Linked DNA regions of Struthio camelus. The protein of the gene in region 2 interacts with the protein of the main gene of each other region in a biochemical or structural test. Links are inferred from orthologs where the notes say so. Each region holds a gene or a part of one and is shown on either strand. Other genes may lie near its edges.

What was found.
Region 1: the proteins of SMURF1 (region 2) and PDLIM7 are reported together in a solved structure, tested with the Homo sapiens proteins (2 studies listed by BioGRID, with this or other methods). The link is inferred for Struthio camelus from reciprocal best matches to the Homo sapiens genes SMURF1 and PDLIM7.

The regions. Positions count from the first base shown.
Region 1 is NC_090954.1:9,774,604-9,782,439, forward strand, and holds the start of PDLIM7 (PDZ and LIM domain protein 7), read right to left. Parts: upstream 3,013-7,836; 5' UTR 2,895-3,012; intron 1,282-2,894; exon of another isoform or gene 1,201-1,281; 5' UTR 1,199-1,200; coding exon 1,094-1,198; intron 1-1,093. Other genes in the region: DOK3 (docking protein 3), read right to left, coding at 3,264-4,010, 4,092-4,264, 4,356-4,449, 4,871-5,164, 6,755-6,811; probable ATP-dependent RNA helicase DDX41, read right to left, coding at 7,629-7,765. UniProt on the Homo sapiens protein: May function as a scaffold on which the coordinated assembly of proteins can occur. May play a role as an adapter that, via its PDZ domain, localizes LIM-binding proteins to actin filaments of both skeletal muscle and nonmuscle tissues.
Region 2 is NC_090956.1:4,661,706-4,669,070, reverse strand, and holds the start of SMURF1 (E3 ubiquitin-protein ligase SMURF1), read right to left. Parts: upstream 3,010-7,365; 5' UTR 2,913-3,009; coding exon 2,858-2,912; intron 2,468-2,857; exon of another isoform or gene 2,414-2,467; intron 2,255-2,413; exon of another isoform or gene 2,196-2,254; intron 1-2,195. UniProt on the Homo sapiens protein: E3 ubiquitin-protein ligase that acts as a negative regulator of BMP signaling pathway. Mediates ubiquitination and degradation of SMAD1 and SMAD5, 2 receptor-regulated SMADs specific for the BMP pathway.

The DNA of each region.
Region 1 (7,836 bases), on a different chromosome or scaffold from region 2:
TTTGTTAGGCGCTGGCTCGCAGCCAAGAGAAACATTTTTTAGAGAATAAACTCGCTGAAGCCGTCTCAGCGCGGAGCCCTCAGCTCGGCAAAGATCGGCAGGCCTCGGGGGGACGGCACCGGTGGCTCCAGCCTCGCACGGTGCCCCCAGGGTTTGCGCTCCTTGCCGGGGCGCTGCAGGGACCCGCGCCCACCGGGACAGCCGCGGAGAGCCTGGCTCGTGCTACGGAGCAGGCCCCCAGGCAGCGCTCGGCGCCCGCGAGCAAAGCCTTCGCTCGAGACGCGGCCTCCCGTGCCAGCTGCCGGAGCGTCAGCAGCGCGGACGACAGACGCATTCCAAGGCTTATAAGGCAATTGCGCGGCCAGAGCCACCCGCTAGCGCCCGTGCAAGGGGACAGGGACCACACCTGGTCCAGGCGAGCGTCGCACCAGGGGCGGCTCGCGCGAAGAGCCTCGGCTGCGAGCAGCCAGCAGCACAAAGCCTCTCACACGCACACGTTCGGCGCTGGGGAAACGGGCCGGGGGCCACCGTCCCAGCGCCGGCAGCAGCGTGGGCTTCCTCCCCTCTCTGCCCGTTCCAGGGCCAGAGGGAGCTCGGACGCGGGCTGGAGCTGGAAGCCGAGCAGCAGGAGGGAGGACAGAAGGGCTGAGCCCGCTGCACGAGCCCAGACCCCAGGAGGCCAGGCCCAGCGTCACAGTCCGGACCAGGAGGCCAGCCCCACGGCGCGGAGGCTAGAAGAGCGGCTCCCCTCCCCCAGCTGCCGGACAGGCTCCGGAAGAGGCCTCCCCTACCTCCCCCAGCAGCCAGAATGACTCTGCAGAGGCTTTGCAGTACTTCAAATTTCTGCTGCTCTTCTTGCCCGGAACACCCCCGGCACGCACGTCCCCTGCCAGACGAGGGCCGATAAGGCAACGGGGTGGTGCAGTAGAGGCTAAGCGGAGCGAGACCACAGCAGGACCCAGCACTCCAAGGGTCCCACCTCATCCACGTCCCCATACAGCTGCCGCCTCAGTCACCTGGTCCCAGCAGCCACAGTTTCCTACCCGCAGAGGTAGGAACAGGATGGGCGTTACCGAGGCTCAGCTTCTCTTACCCTGGAGATGGAGAGCGGCATGCTGAAATCCTTCCCTCCCTGCAGTCTGAACCCCCAGGGCGCGGGGCCATCCAGGATCACCTTGTAGGACTCCACATCGCCCATCTCTGCAAAGGAAGAGGGTGCGATCCCGGTGTTACGCTGCACGGGAACAACGCAGGGAGAGCAGCCGAGCGGGGCCCCAGCACCTGGCAGGATGGGGCAGGAGGAGACAGGTCACGCTTCCAGGACCGGCTCCACCCCGACTATCCCACACTGCAGTTAGAGACGCACCCCAAATCCATCAGCATCTCCTAGGGCTGAGGAGCCCAGGCTAATGCTGACTAGCACAAAAGAGCCAGACACAGCTGACTGCCACGCTCAGTGCACTCACGGGCTCTGCTCTCCCTGCCCCAAACCTGGGGCACGCTCTCCCTTGCAGTACGCACAACAGCGCCCTGGAAGCTCACGCTACTGAGAGCCAAAACTGTTTCAGACCACGGAGAAGCAACAGCGGGTGTGGAAGGATGGAGACCAGAGGCGTTTTCGCTGGGTGAATTAGCAGCGGCACAGTAGCTGCGCGATGCCAACCAAGCGGACTGGCAGCGCAGCCAGGCTCGTGCTGCAGCAGCTGGCCAAACAGATGCTACCTGGGAGGCGAGCCCATCTCTGCGCGCAGAGCCGGGGCTTCAGCGAGGAGGGAATCCCTGCCTCTCCCTGCGCGCCAGCCGGGACGGCGCTGACAGCTGTCAGCCGGCCAAGGCACGGGGGGCACACGGGCCGGCCCCAGCCTCCCAGCCGCATCTCAGCCAAGAGGAGCCCTCCCAGATCTTGAGGGGCCCCTTCGAGACCCTGCCTCCTGCCCCCGCAAGGAAGGGACAAACCCAGCGCCCCGAGGGCCGGGGACCTCGGGCTCCTAGCCGGGAGGCAGTGGAGGCGCAAGGGCCGGGGGCCGGCGAGCCCCCGCTCTCCCCAAGCCCGGGCGGGCTATATAAGGCTTGTAAGATGACACCAGCGTGCTCCCCGCTCGGGAAGGCTGGGTGAAGGCTGCGTGTCAGACATTCCCCAGCACCGAGCAGCCGCACAAACCGGGGCAAGGCGCGGTGTCCTTCGGGGCCGGGACCGTGGCGGTCTGCCCCAAGGCGGCCGGCAGCGCCCCACACGCCCAGGTCAGGGCTGGGGGGGCCCCAGCAGCCAGGGGTCTCCGGCAGCCCTGGGGCAGGGTGCTGGTGGGGGGCAGAGAAGTGATCTGGAGGGATGGGGTGGGCCCACACAGCCCCTCCGCGAGGGGTTACGGCCACGTCCCATGGGGCTGGCGCAAGGCACCTGGGTGGCCCTGGGGCACCCACTCCTGATGGGCAGCCAGGCTGGGCCCCCAGCCCTGCCCCACACAGGCCCCCCCCACTCCCTACCCCTGCCCCCCTACCCTGCCCTATACGGGCCCCCCTGCTCTCTACCCCTGCCCCACACGACCCCCCCCCCCCGTTCCCCAGCCCTGCCCCACACGGGCCCCTTGTCCAGACGGGGCCAGCCAGCCTCCCTGACCCCGACCCGGGGCCCCCCTCCCCGCCCCACACAGCCCCCTGCGCAGGCCGGACTGGCCCCCTTTCCCACAGCTCGGGCCCCCCCTCCAAACCCGCGGCACCCCGTCGGGGCGGGCCCCGAGCCCCAGCGCTGCCCCACACGGGCCCTGCCGGAGCACTCTGCCTGCCTTCCTCGCACACAGGCCCCTACCCGGCCCCATGCGGGCCCCCAGCCGGATGAGCCGCCCCCGCGCCCAGGCCCGGGCCCCCTGGCAGCCCCGGTCCCGCCCCGCGCTCACCTGCGGCCGGGCCGCGCCGGGCCGCCCCGGCGGAGCGGAGCGGGGCCGAACGGACCGAGCGGAGCGGAGCGGAGCGGAGCGGAGCGGAGCAGCCGGACGCGGGACTCGAACTCGGGGCACCGCCCCCGCCCGGCCCGGCCCGCCTTTAAGTACGGCCGGGGGTGGGGTGGGCGGTGCCGGCGGCCGGCTCGGCCAATCAGCTCGCCGACCGCCCGCCGCGCCGGGGCGCGCACGACGGCGCCCCCTGACGGCGAGATGCGGGCGCCGCAGGCGCAGCGCGGGCGCCCCCTCCCACCCGCGAGCAAGGACGGAGCCGGCTCGAGCGCAGCCTCTTTATTCACCGTATCGCCAAGGCCCGGCCGGCCCGGCTCACAGCCAGTCCCGCTGCCCGGCGGCAGGAGCCTCCCTGCTCAGCAGCCGGACGAGCTTGGCCTTGAGGTTGCCCTGCGGCTTGGGCCCGGGGCGCCCCGGGGGCTCCTCGTGGGCACAGCGCCCCGCCGGACCCCAGCGCTGCTCCGGGGGGCCGGGGGGCTGCGGGCCGCCCCACGCCGCCGCCACCGCCTCCCGGTTGTCGTAGATGGGGCCTGCCTCGCCGCTGTGGCCCTCGGGGGCCTGCCGGCACCCCAGCTCCCACTGCCCTTCCTCGTGCTCCTCCTCCTCCTCCTCTGTGCGCCCCAGCTGCGCCGCAAAGATGTTCTCATAGAGGTGCTCGGCGGCCGGCTTCCCCGCGGCCCAGGGCTCGCTGGGGCCAGGCTGCCCCAGCCCGAAGAGGGGCTGCTGGCCCCGGGCGATGGAGGCGTAGATGATGGGGCCGGTGCCATCGGGCTCCGAGGTTGGGAAGCGGAGGAGGCCCAGGGCAGGCTGGGAACTGGGCTGGGAGCTGGGCTGCACCCTCCCTGCGGCTGGCCCAGGCTGCGGTTCCTCAGAGGCGGGTCCCCGGGGCTGGGGCTCGGTGCCCGGGATGGGGATCCGGGTCTCCGGGGCATCCTTGTCCTGCTGCTGGCAGGCGATGGCGGTGGCCACGGCCCGGCAGAGCTCCGGGGCCCGCGGGGTGCTGAAGGTGAAGGTGCCCTCGCCAGAGTCGCTGCGGCGGCCGGCCTCGAAGGAGAAGACTGTCTGCGAGGTCGGAGGGCAGGGTGAGGGGCTGGCGCCCACCTCACCTGCCCTAGGGAAGTCAGGGAGCGGGGCACCACCTACCTGGTCCTGGCCAAACTTGCGGAGGAAGGAGTAGGGCCAGGTGAGCAGGGGCTGGCGGGACTGCGGGTCCTTCAGCGTCAGGCTCTGGGGGAGAGCTGCGAGCAGGTAGTGCCCGTGCAGGCCGCAGCGGGCGGCTGCGTCCGTCCTGAGCACCAGCACCAGGAACTCTGTCACTGCGGGAGCAGAACGGCACCGGGATCAGCCCTGCCACGCTGAGCTGCTGCCCGCCCCAGCCCCCTCCGCCACCCAGCCCATGGCACGTACGGTCCTGCCACGAGGAGTAGAGGGAGTTCTCCTCCATGTGGACGTCGGAGCCGGGCTGGGTCCTGGCGCTGCTCTGTGGCACCTCCTTTGCACCCTGAAACAGAGGGATGTGAGAGCGGCCCCCGCCCCGGGCACCCTCGTCCTGCAGCTCGGCCCTGGGGCTGCTCCGAACATGCCGCGGTGGCACAAGGCGCGGGCAGAGATGGGGCAGCGCGAGGGCCTGCAAGCAGGGCTGTAGCACCTCTCCCTGCTGCACACGTGCAGTGGAAACTCTCCCAGTAGGGGCCTGCCTTCAAAACCACCCCCGACTAGTCCCCCCAAGGGGACTCATCCCTTCTCCTGCTGCATCCTGGCCCCATGCCCCAGCAACACCCTCCACCCCAAGGTGATGGCCAGGGACCAAGGGAGGGAGCCCCCCTGGCTCACCCAAACCAGGAGCAGGGTGAGGGGGGTCCCAGCTGTGCAGCCTGCCCACCCCACTGCTCGTGGCCCCGCTCACCCCAAAGACGCGGTACCTGGAAAGCCAGCTGGCAGAGCTGAGAGATCCACTCGTCCCGCTGCTCGGCCGCCAGCACATAGCTCTTCTCCGTGGTGTTGAGGTAGAAGGCAGCGGTGGCTTTGGGGCAGCTGTCAGTGCTGACGGGCCCCACGGAGACGCAGTCCGAGAGGCGGATCACCCGGCGGGCGCACCTCCGCAGGGAGGACTTCTCCAGCACCGTGCCGTCATCCCGCACATCAAACTTCTCCATCCGGGCCACGCCGGACGGGCTGGCAGCAAAGAGCTGCGCTCGCATCTTCCTCCAGAACCTCTGGGGTGCAGGAAGGGCACAGACAAGGGGAACAAAAGGTCAGCAAACAACTGCCTGCTGCATCTTCACCGGCACTGCCCTCCTTATCGCGTCAGCCAGCACAGTAAGGGCTCCAGCCCATGCTTGGCAGGACAGGGCACGCCGGGCACACGCAATGCCCTTCCCGCACCCCTGGCGGGGCTGGGCACACTGCGCGTGCTGGGGGAGGACACAGCAAGCAGGGCCTTCTCAGGTCCCCCAGCACCCGCAGGCCAGGCCAGCCCCAAAGCCAGGGCTGCCAGCCGCCAGGTCAGCGAGGTGGCCAGCCTGGCCCTCCAGCGAGGTCGGCTCCGCTCGCCTGGTGAGTCACGCTCGCCCTCGGCTGGGAAGGGAACCCAGGCATCCTGCCCTCTGCTCCCTGCTGCAAGTGCTAGCCTGCTGCTGCTGCAGCTGAGCCTCTTGAGCTGTTTTCAGGACAGACCATGATGCAAATTAAAGCCATTTTGAGCTGCTTGGGCTCCTGCAGGCAGCTCACACCTACCAAGTACAGTTAGTCCCTGCAGCTAGCAACCCGCTTCCTCCCAGGGGACGCTCTGTGGTACCAGCACCTTCCCAGCCTGTCATGGGATAGAGAGGGCGCTTCCCCCCCACACACCTCAAGAGCACAACATGGCCTCCACCCCAGTGAACCTACGCGCAGCCGAGCACCCAAAATACCCGCCACCGTAAGCCCACCTGCGTCCTACATGGCAGGGCATCGGCCTCTGCTCACATAGGGGTCTGCCCACTTCAGCTCTAGGACTCAGCTCTCGCAGGCAGGGAGACTAGAGCAGCTCCGTGAGAGTATCGAAGGCACAGCCGTGGCCCAGCACGTCCACTGAGCACACGGAGGGTTGACTGCACCCCACGGGCTCTAGGAAGGGGCAGAGCCACCCCGCTGAAGCAGCGGGGATGCTGCTGGGCACGGTCAGCGAAGTGGTGGGACCTGCCTTGTAAGCACCATCTCACAGCTCCTACCAGGACTCCAGTAACATAACCCATAACGTGCCCAGAGGGTTTTGGCACTCAGTGCCCATCCCCAAGGGCTCAGCACACCGAGCAGCTGGGCAGCGAGTCCAGCCCTGCGGCTGGCTTTTCCCACAGCACTGCCCCCCACGGTCAGGCTCTTCGAAGGCTTGGCGCACAGCAACTTCCTATGTGTGGTCCCACCACCCCCAGGAGCTGCAAGGGGCTCCCACCCCTGCTGCCCCACTTGCACACAAGCACCGGAGCTATGCGTCATTAACACACGTTTATTGTTTCATCGCGAATCGCGTGGCGATCAGGCAAGGGGACAGACCCTGTACATGGGGGTCAGTGTGAGCAGAGGCCTGCTCGGGGGAGTCCCCTCAGCTGTGGGGAGAGCCACCTTGCCCCACTCCGTTACAGCTACAGAGGCCAGGGCCCTCTCTGCCCTACCCAAGGGGTCTGGCTCTGTCGTTCCCCTGCCGAAGCTGTGGAGGACCCAGTATTCCCCATCCGGTCAGGGCCTCCCCCAGGGTCTAGCATCAAGGCAGAACAGGGCAAGACAGAGCTCTACAACCCACCCCAAACCCACCCTCCACCTTTTACCTTTCCAAATTTGCTGTGTTGCACATAGAGGATCCCATCCTTCACAGGTCTCTCCATGGGCACAGCACTGCCCTGGCAGCCAGTGCAAGGATCTGGGACTCAGACCATCAGCAGCAGAGAAGTGTGACTGCTGCAGCTGAAGCAACTAAATGGGGCAGACTTCCTTTTCTCAGCGACTTCCCCTTTTTGCTGTGTGGGATGAGGGGCAGGCTGGGCCACAGGAGGTGTCCATCCTCCCTCCCCCTCACAGGAGGGCAGTGGGGCAGAACACATGCAGCAAGAGCAAAGGAAGCTCCTAGGGGCCTGCCTGACATGAGCACAGCATGCTCTGCCCTGCCCTGGCTGCATCAGGGCACAGTTGCGGGTAACAGAAACTGCCCTGGTCAGAGCACAGCAGAAAGGAGGCAGCCACCAGCTGAGAGTGCACAACACGAGCTGCGGGGGAACAGTCCCAGAGGAATCCAGGGGCTTTGGAGGAGAGCAATGCCAGACCCCAGCCATGCCACCACGGGGAAGCTGAGTAGGGGCTGCAGACAGCTGGCCACAGAGCAGCCACCCCACAGGCACCACTACCCGCTTGCCCAATGCTTCACATCAACATGCCGCTGATGTAATGGGCTGTTGCAGCACAGCTCCTCACATTTCCTCCTAGAGCAGGAGCTTCAGCAGGCTGAGCGGGCAACAGTCCCCAGTGCCCAAATGCTTTGAAAAGGAGCCACAGCGGTGCAGGACAGGCCTGCAGTCCGGGCTGGTCTGGGCTTTGGGAAATGAGGGCAGCTGCAGGGGGGACAGCGCTGTTTGCCCAAAGAGAGTCAAAGCTCGGCCCTCTCTCCCAGCCTCGGTGGAGGCAGCACTGGGCAGCAGCATCCCCAGGCTAGAAGTCCATGGAGCTGTGAGCCAGGTAGTCTTTGCGGCCGATGTTGCTGACTTGCTTCGTCTGCATCGCCTCCAGCTTGGGGCAGTCAGTGATGCGATGGCCCAGGCCACCGCAGAAGGCACAGCCCCGTTCATCTGCAATGGGAGGAGCAAGGTCAGGCAGAGCCACACCACACCAGGCAGGAGGGTGGCCCCCACCCCAGGAG
Region 2 (7,365 bases):
AAAAATGTTACATGTTTTGCCCACCTCTTCACTCTCTTTCCAACTCTATGTGCCACCTAATCTGCAAGCTACCTGGAACAGGAGCATCTCTGGTATCTAGCACAATGAGACTGCAGTTTTCACACGTACTTCTGGGTGATATAACAGCATGAGCAAGAAGGATGCAAGCCTTGGAGCTGATAAACCCTTTGGAACTTCCCCAGGGGACAGTGACGGCAGCAGCAAACAAAAGGTTTTAGACAAAAGCACATCACTTAAAAGGGAGGAAAGAAAAAAAAAAAAAAAAGGAAAAAGGAGGTGGGGAGGCACTCAGCAAAGGTCCCTTGGTCTTTGGATTGCATTCCTCCCCAACCCAGAACACACTCAGTGGACTTTTCAAGCACGTACACTGCAGAACTTAAAATATCTTTTTATTATTTCCATCTTTTTTTAAATAAGTCATTCACTGTTACACTACCCTGGTGATAGCTCAGTTTACCTTAACTTGTAAGAGCCAAAGATATTTACGGCCTTGTCTCTTGGAACAATTCTAGACATCTCTAGCAGTGGTGAAAGCTCCATCGGAAATACAAGGAACTTTGCACAGGCTTTTGGGGAAACTCAGATACGAAGAGAGATTACCATGTTTGAGACGCACAGAAGATAAAGTCACTTTAATCTGTCATCCAACTTACTTGCTATTACCGCATTTTCTCTTTTTTTTTTTTTTTTTTTAAACAGGATGCATTATTTGCCATTTTCCTTCATTATGATTTGTATCAGGATAGGACTGACACCATTCCACATAAGGCTAGAAGATCACTTCTGATAAACATCAGAGGAGCCAGAACTTTTTTATATATATATTCACATAAATAAAATAATCCCAGCACAGTGCTAATACAAGCACCTTCCTAACATGCAAGAAAAAAGTATGTCTTTCAAAAAGTACGGAAGATGCTATCACTGTCGACTTCTCGTTTACAAAGTAACCCTCACAGGCATCTTCAAACTAAGTGGCATTTACACAGTTCCTTGCAGGAGTGGAAAACAGAAATGGCTATAATCGCAGGAAACACAATGCGGGTAGTAAACCATAACAGAAGATGCGCTGTGTCTTGATTTAATTCAGCTCAAATCTCCCAATACCAAAACAGATTCCAAAAAAAAAAAAAAAAAAAAAAAGTCATGCTAGCTACAGCTATTTGAAACAGGTAAGTCGAGAAGCTAGTTGCCAGAGAAGCCAGGAACACGTTTCTTAACGATTCCAAAGCTACACCTCTCCCAAAGCAACACCTCTCCCAAAGCAATTTATTTTTTGATTAAATACAGCAATTTTTGGCACACCACCCAGGTTGAATGCTCATAAGGACAGAAGATATGATTGAGCAAGCTGGAGGTTTCTTCAGTACAGCTTTTCTTTGGGGAGGGGGGAATATATGAACAAGAAAATCTATCCAGTTATTTAACAAACCAAACCTTCACTCTATTCCAGAAAATGTCCAAAACGTTCTCAAATAAGAGAGAACAGTGCAAGCTAGAAGTAAAACAGCATTTTGATGCAGAACTCCTCCTTTAAAAATCAAACCCAACAGCTTTTTTCTGCTATTTAAAGAATACCCTCACGTTGAGGAGGGCTGTAAGCATGGCAGAAGCTACTTCTCTTGCAACATTTTTATTTATTGGGTTGCATAAAATAAGTTATATTAAGGACTGCTTTGACATTTAACACGCATCAGTGCAAAACTGTAATTTCAGATCAAACATACACCCTAAATCCTTTTTTAACCTTTTCACATCCAAGAAAAGGATTGTCCTATTTATGTTTTTTCCCAGAAACTTTAGTCTCTTAAAGCCAGAGCAGTGTAAAACCAAACAAAAATGATTAAAAAAGCAGGATTCTTTTTTTTTTTAGGAGTTATTTCTGACTGATTGCATTATATGCCAGAAGCAAGTTAATCTTGTGTGTAACTGCAGGAGTGCTGCTTCCCCATTATTTGACGATGCCTAACGCACCCAGGGAAACAACTCCGTGCAGATCAGCGTTACTGACCCAGAGCAGCACGGCGGTTCGCTGAAAGAGCTCTCCGAGTTTGCACCTGTTGCCTTGGAGGCCTGGACTGGGCTTTATTTATCAATAATTCACACCGTAGCCCTCAGAAACTCTGCCCTTTTTCCATTAAGGAAGCAGCCTCAGTATCAACCGGGGCAGCTTCCAGAAGATTTAATCCAGCTCTTGGAGGGTGCAACACAGAATTGGCTTATCCACACGCGGGTGCGCAGTTTATCGCTCCTTCCCCCCTTCCCCTTATCGCTCAGCGAAGCAACTTCGGGAGCCGGATGAGCGATCTGCTGAAGGAGAAAAGGGGGGAAGGGGCGGCCGGGGAGGAAGGAGGCAGCCCTGGCCCGCGACTAAACCCACATTTTCTCCCAGCACAGAGCGCCTGCCCGGCCCAAGGGAAACTCGGCGGCGGAGCAGGAGGCCGAGGTCGGTCCTGGCGGGCGGCGGTTGGGGGGGGGGGGGGAGCCGGGCCCGGAGCCCCCCCCCCCCCCGGGGGCCCCCGCAGCGCCGGGCTGCGCACCTGACACCCCGCCGGGGGGCAACGGCGCGGGCCAGGGGGCCAAGATATATTAGGGATATATGTGTATATATATATATTATATATGGGGGGGGGGGGGGCGGCCCGGGGAAAGTTCGCGCCGGTAGCGGCGGCAGCCCGGCCGGCCTCGCCCCCTCGCGGCGCCCGGCCCTGCCGCCAGGCCGCGGCCCGGAGGGGGCGGCGGCCGCCGGCGCCGAGGCGGCCAGGCCGGGGCGGGCGAGGCGGCGGTGCGGGGGGGAAGCGGCGGGAGGGCCGCGCGGCGGCGGCGGCGCCGTTACCTGTGAGGCGGATCTTGATGCTGGAGCCGTTCCGGCGGGTGCCGGGGTTCGACATCGCGGGCGCGGGCTGGGGGAGCCGGTCTCAGCCGCCGGCCCCGGGCACCCCCATGCGGGCCTGCTGCCGCCGCCGCCGCCGCCCGCCTCAGCCCCGCCGCCCGGCCCGGCCCGGCCGCGGAGAGCGCGCTGGCGCCGCCCCCGCCCCGCCGCCCGCGGGAGAGGGGGCGGCGCACGTCAGCACGCAGCGCGGCGCGGCCGCGCGCCGCCGCCATGGAGGTGAGGTCGGCCTGGAGGGGGGCGGGGGGGAGGAGAGCGGCAGCGCCCCCTGGCGGCGGGGCGGAGAGGGGGCGACGGCGGGGCCCGGCGGGGGGGCGAGGCGGGGCGGGGGTAACAATGGGGGTGACATGGGGGCCCGGAGGGTGGATGGGGCGGCAGAGGGGGTGGGTAGGAGTGATACAGGGGGTGCGTGGGGGTGGCACGGGGGTCCCTTGGAGGGTGCATGGAGGGGGGTGGGGGTGCATGGAAGGTGTCTGGGGGTGGGATGGAGGGTGCGTGGGGGGGGTGAATGGAGGGTGCGTGGGGGTGGGATGGGGGTGAATGGAGGGTGGCTGGGGTGGGATGAGGGGTGAATGGAGGGTGCGTGGGGGTGGGATGGGGGGTGAATGGAGGGTGGCTGGGGTGGGATGAGGGGTGAATGGAGGGTGCGTGGGGGTGGGATGGGGGGTGAATGGAGGGTGGCTGGGGTGGGATGGGGGTGAATGGAGGGTGGCTGGGGTGGGATGGGGGTGAATGGAGGGTGGCTGGAATGGGATGAGGGGTGAATGGAAGGTGGCTGGGGTGGGATGGGGGTGAATGGAGGGTGCGTGGGGGTGGGATGGGGGTGAATGGAGGGTGGCTGGGGTGGGATGGGGGTGAATGGAGGGTGGCTGGGGTGGGATGAGGGGTGAATGGAGGGTGGCTGGGGTGGGATGAAGGGTGAATGGAGGGTGGCTGGGGTGGGATGGGGGTGAATGGAGGGTGGCTGGGGTGGGATGGGGGGTGAATGGAGGGTGTCTGGGGTGGGATGGGGGGTGAATGGAGGGTGTCTGGGGTGGGATGAGGGGTGAATGGAGGGTGGCTGGGGTGGGATGGCGGTGAATGGAGGGTGCGTGGGGGTGGGATGGAGGTGAATGGAGGGTGGCTGGGGTGGGATGAGGGGTGAATGGAGGGTGGCTGGGGTGGGATGAGGGGTGAATGGAGCGTGTGGGCGGCTCAGGGCAGGGTGGAGGGGAGGAAATGGTGGGTGGAGTAGGGAGGGTGGGGGCCGGGGCAGTGTGGCAGGGCGCAGGGTGCAGCAGAGGGGTGATGTTTTGGGGGGGGGGGGGACACGGGGCCAGGTTTCAAGCAGAGCGGTGCCAACCCGAGAGCCTGGTGCGTGGGTCTGGGGGTGAGGGCAGCTCAGCCCCCAGCGGGCTCAGGTGCTCGTCCCCGCGCGCCCACAAGGCCGGGATGTGCCCGGGGGGCCACCCGGCTGCCCGCGGTCCCCCGCAGACGCAGCCACTGGCCGGAGACGATGCCGTGGGAGCAGCCTGGCCGTGGCCCCCGCGCCCCATGCAACCCCCCCGAGCACCTCGTTGCTCACTGCTTCCCCAAATGCCTGGTCGGCCAGCAGTTAACGCTGGGGCCTGGTCCTTGCGCCTCTGCCGTGACCCGTCCCCAGCCTATTGATTTACGAACTAACAAATTTAAAAAAAAAAAAACATACACCAACTTCTATTTGCAATGCCAGGATGCGTGTACGCTGAACAAGCCCGCTCACCTCTGCTGCCAGCCAAAAACAAAATCGCTACTGAAAGAAAAATCCTGAAAGGATCCCTAAATCCTCCCTGTCCGCCGAGGCACGGCGCATCCCCCAACCTCCCTGCGCCAAACCTCCGGGCCAGCCTTCTTTTACACCCAGCTGGCTGAGACTAGGTTGTCCTGTTTGCTTAGACACGTGCTGCCGTCCCCGCGGAGCAGACGCCGGGCTCAATGCGGGCCTGCGTAGCCAGACAGAAGTAGCAAATACTACTGTAGAGCAAACGTGAGCTATTTTTCCTGCAGGCAAAGAGATGACCTAGTTCCCCGATCGGGCTGATTTATGGAACTGGAAGCGGGGACGAGGACGGGGCGTGCCGGGCTCGGCGTCGCTCCTGACCGCGTTCGCGCCGAGCTCGTCGCTGGCTACTGCCAGGGGACAGCGGCAGGGCTGGCTCCGCGGCTTCTCACCCTCCCCGCCTCTCGGCCAGACCCGAAGCAAGGGGCGCGCGCGCAGGGAGGCTCTGGAAGCAGAAAGGGACGCGGAGGGTTAGCGGCTAAGTTCGTTAGTCCGACCAGCGCACGCCTTAATTCGGGATTTCGAAAGTACCGCTGTTGTGCTGAGCAGAGAGGATCTTCAGTTTTAAACCACAGCTTTTATTCCTTTGCTCTGCCCATCCTTTCCCAGTGCTGTTTAATGGAAGGCGTGAGGCCCTTCGGTCCTCGCCCAGGACCTTGCTCTTGCTGCGTGCCGGCGTTGGCTAACTGAGAGCTCAGCTCAGGACCAGGCGGGTCCCCTGCAGTGACAGAGCGCGTCGGGCTCTCACTTTTCGAGCGTGCTCAGGGCGGAGGAGCACGGCAAAGATGTTTATGGCTAGCCCCGACAGCCCTGCTGCTCGATTTCCAGCCTGCCGCTGAGCTGGTCCCCAGCGTCTCGGCTCCCCGCGGCACACTTTCCTCGCTGTTTGTTTTCAGCTCCAGATCATCACTCGGAGGGACCGAGCTGTAGCTGTTACAGTCTGTTTGCTCAAAGTCTGCAGCATCTTAACTGAGCCTAGCGACAGATCAGCTGGGAACCACTCTCACTAGCGGTTCCTCCGAGGCAAAGAGGAGGAAGAAACCCCACTCCGTAAATGCCAGGAAGAAAATGCAGAATACAGGCGACGGAGAAGAGAAAGCCTCCGACAACCTACGGCCAAGCATCAGGTGCAGCAAAAAAACTGGAGACTCAAGCAATGCTTTCCGCCGTTCACGTTCTTCCCCCAAATCCACCTCCCCGACCTTTCCCCCTGCCCAGCCACGCTAACCAGGGCTCGGTCCCATCCCCTGCCGGCAGAGCTGGCTCCCGCAGCCCCGAGTTACGCGGTTCCCGGCACAGCCCCTGTCTCGGCCGCTGCTGGGACTCTCCTTCGCCCGGGCACAGACTCCTGCCTCCTGGCCAACTCCGGCGCTGCTGCTTCTCCCACCCCACGCTCCAGGGAGCTGAACTTGCTGTTTCTCCTATTTCTTCTTTCTTTTCTCCAGCCATCAGTTTTCGGCTTGCGTAACTCCCCAAGCCGGCTCCTGGCAGGCCGGGTGAGTCAGGGGCAGCGCAGGCCCCAGCTCCCTGCTTTGCATCCCTGGGAACTGCCACCGAAACCCCCTTCGATCAAGTCTTACAAAGTCAGAGCCCCCATAACTAATTTACATGGTCCCATGGAGGTTGCTGAGTGTTCCTGTGGCAGCAGAAAATGAATAATTCGGAATAAAGGTACTTTGGAAGAGCCCCTACCCCCTTTACGGTGTCCTTTATTGACAAAGGAGCCAGCACAGGCACCAGCACCGCCTTTGTAGAGCTCTAGAGAGCCAGGGATGGAGCAGCCATCATCCGGCTTCTCTGGGGTTCAGATGCAGGGTGCTTTAATTAGAAAAACTACTTATTGGTGCATCTCTAAGCAGAGGATGAGCCCAGGCAGCAGGAGACCCCCCGCCGTCCCCTCCTGTGCTGCAGCCTCGGCTTCGCCCAGCAGCGAGGTGTGGACACCCGAGGAGGAGGAAGGTGCCAGGGGCTTTGCCAAGAAGCCAGGGTCAAGCTACTCTTAATCTGCCTTTGGGAAGCAGCCACCCCGTGAACAGCTCCCCGACTAATCCTTCGCCCCGCGCCTGTGAGCTGGCTGCAGCAGCAAGGGAAGGAGGGTCACGCCAGGGAGACGGAGGGTGATGCGAGAAGTCGGTGTCTCCAACCCTTTGGAGCTGAATGCCAAAGCGGCAACTGCCACCTGTGCCCGGGGCCAGCGGTGATTAGAGGAGAGCACCACTCATTAAAGGGGCAAGCAGATGCCTGCAGGTAGCTCACGCGCCTGCTGAGGCAGCAGCCTCCCAAACACACAAGGCATCAGGCAGGTACATACAGCCGAGCAGGCAGCTGTGTTCAGACAGACACCGTTCCCAGTTCTCCAGCCGCGTTTGTACAACAGCATCAGTCGAAGCCATGCTGCCTCTGCCTTGCTCATGGTGCAGCTCTCCACAAGGCTGGTGGCTATGGAGGATGCATACTCCTACCCATGTTCTTAAAGAGGGGGTCACGTTGTTTTCTCCATCATGTTCTGGGCTTTAGGGGCACCATTTGGTTGCAGTTTAAGCTATCCACTTGCTCTCAGAGCTCTGCATAATACTATCCACCACTGGCAGGCCTCTCCAGCATGCACAGGTAAGCTGGAAAAAAAGACAGACAGCTCTGCCCTTGCTCTTTTTAG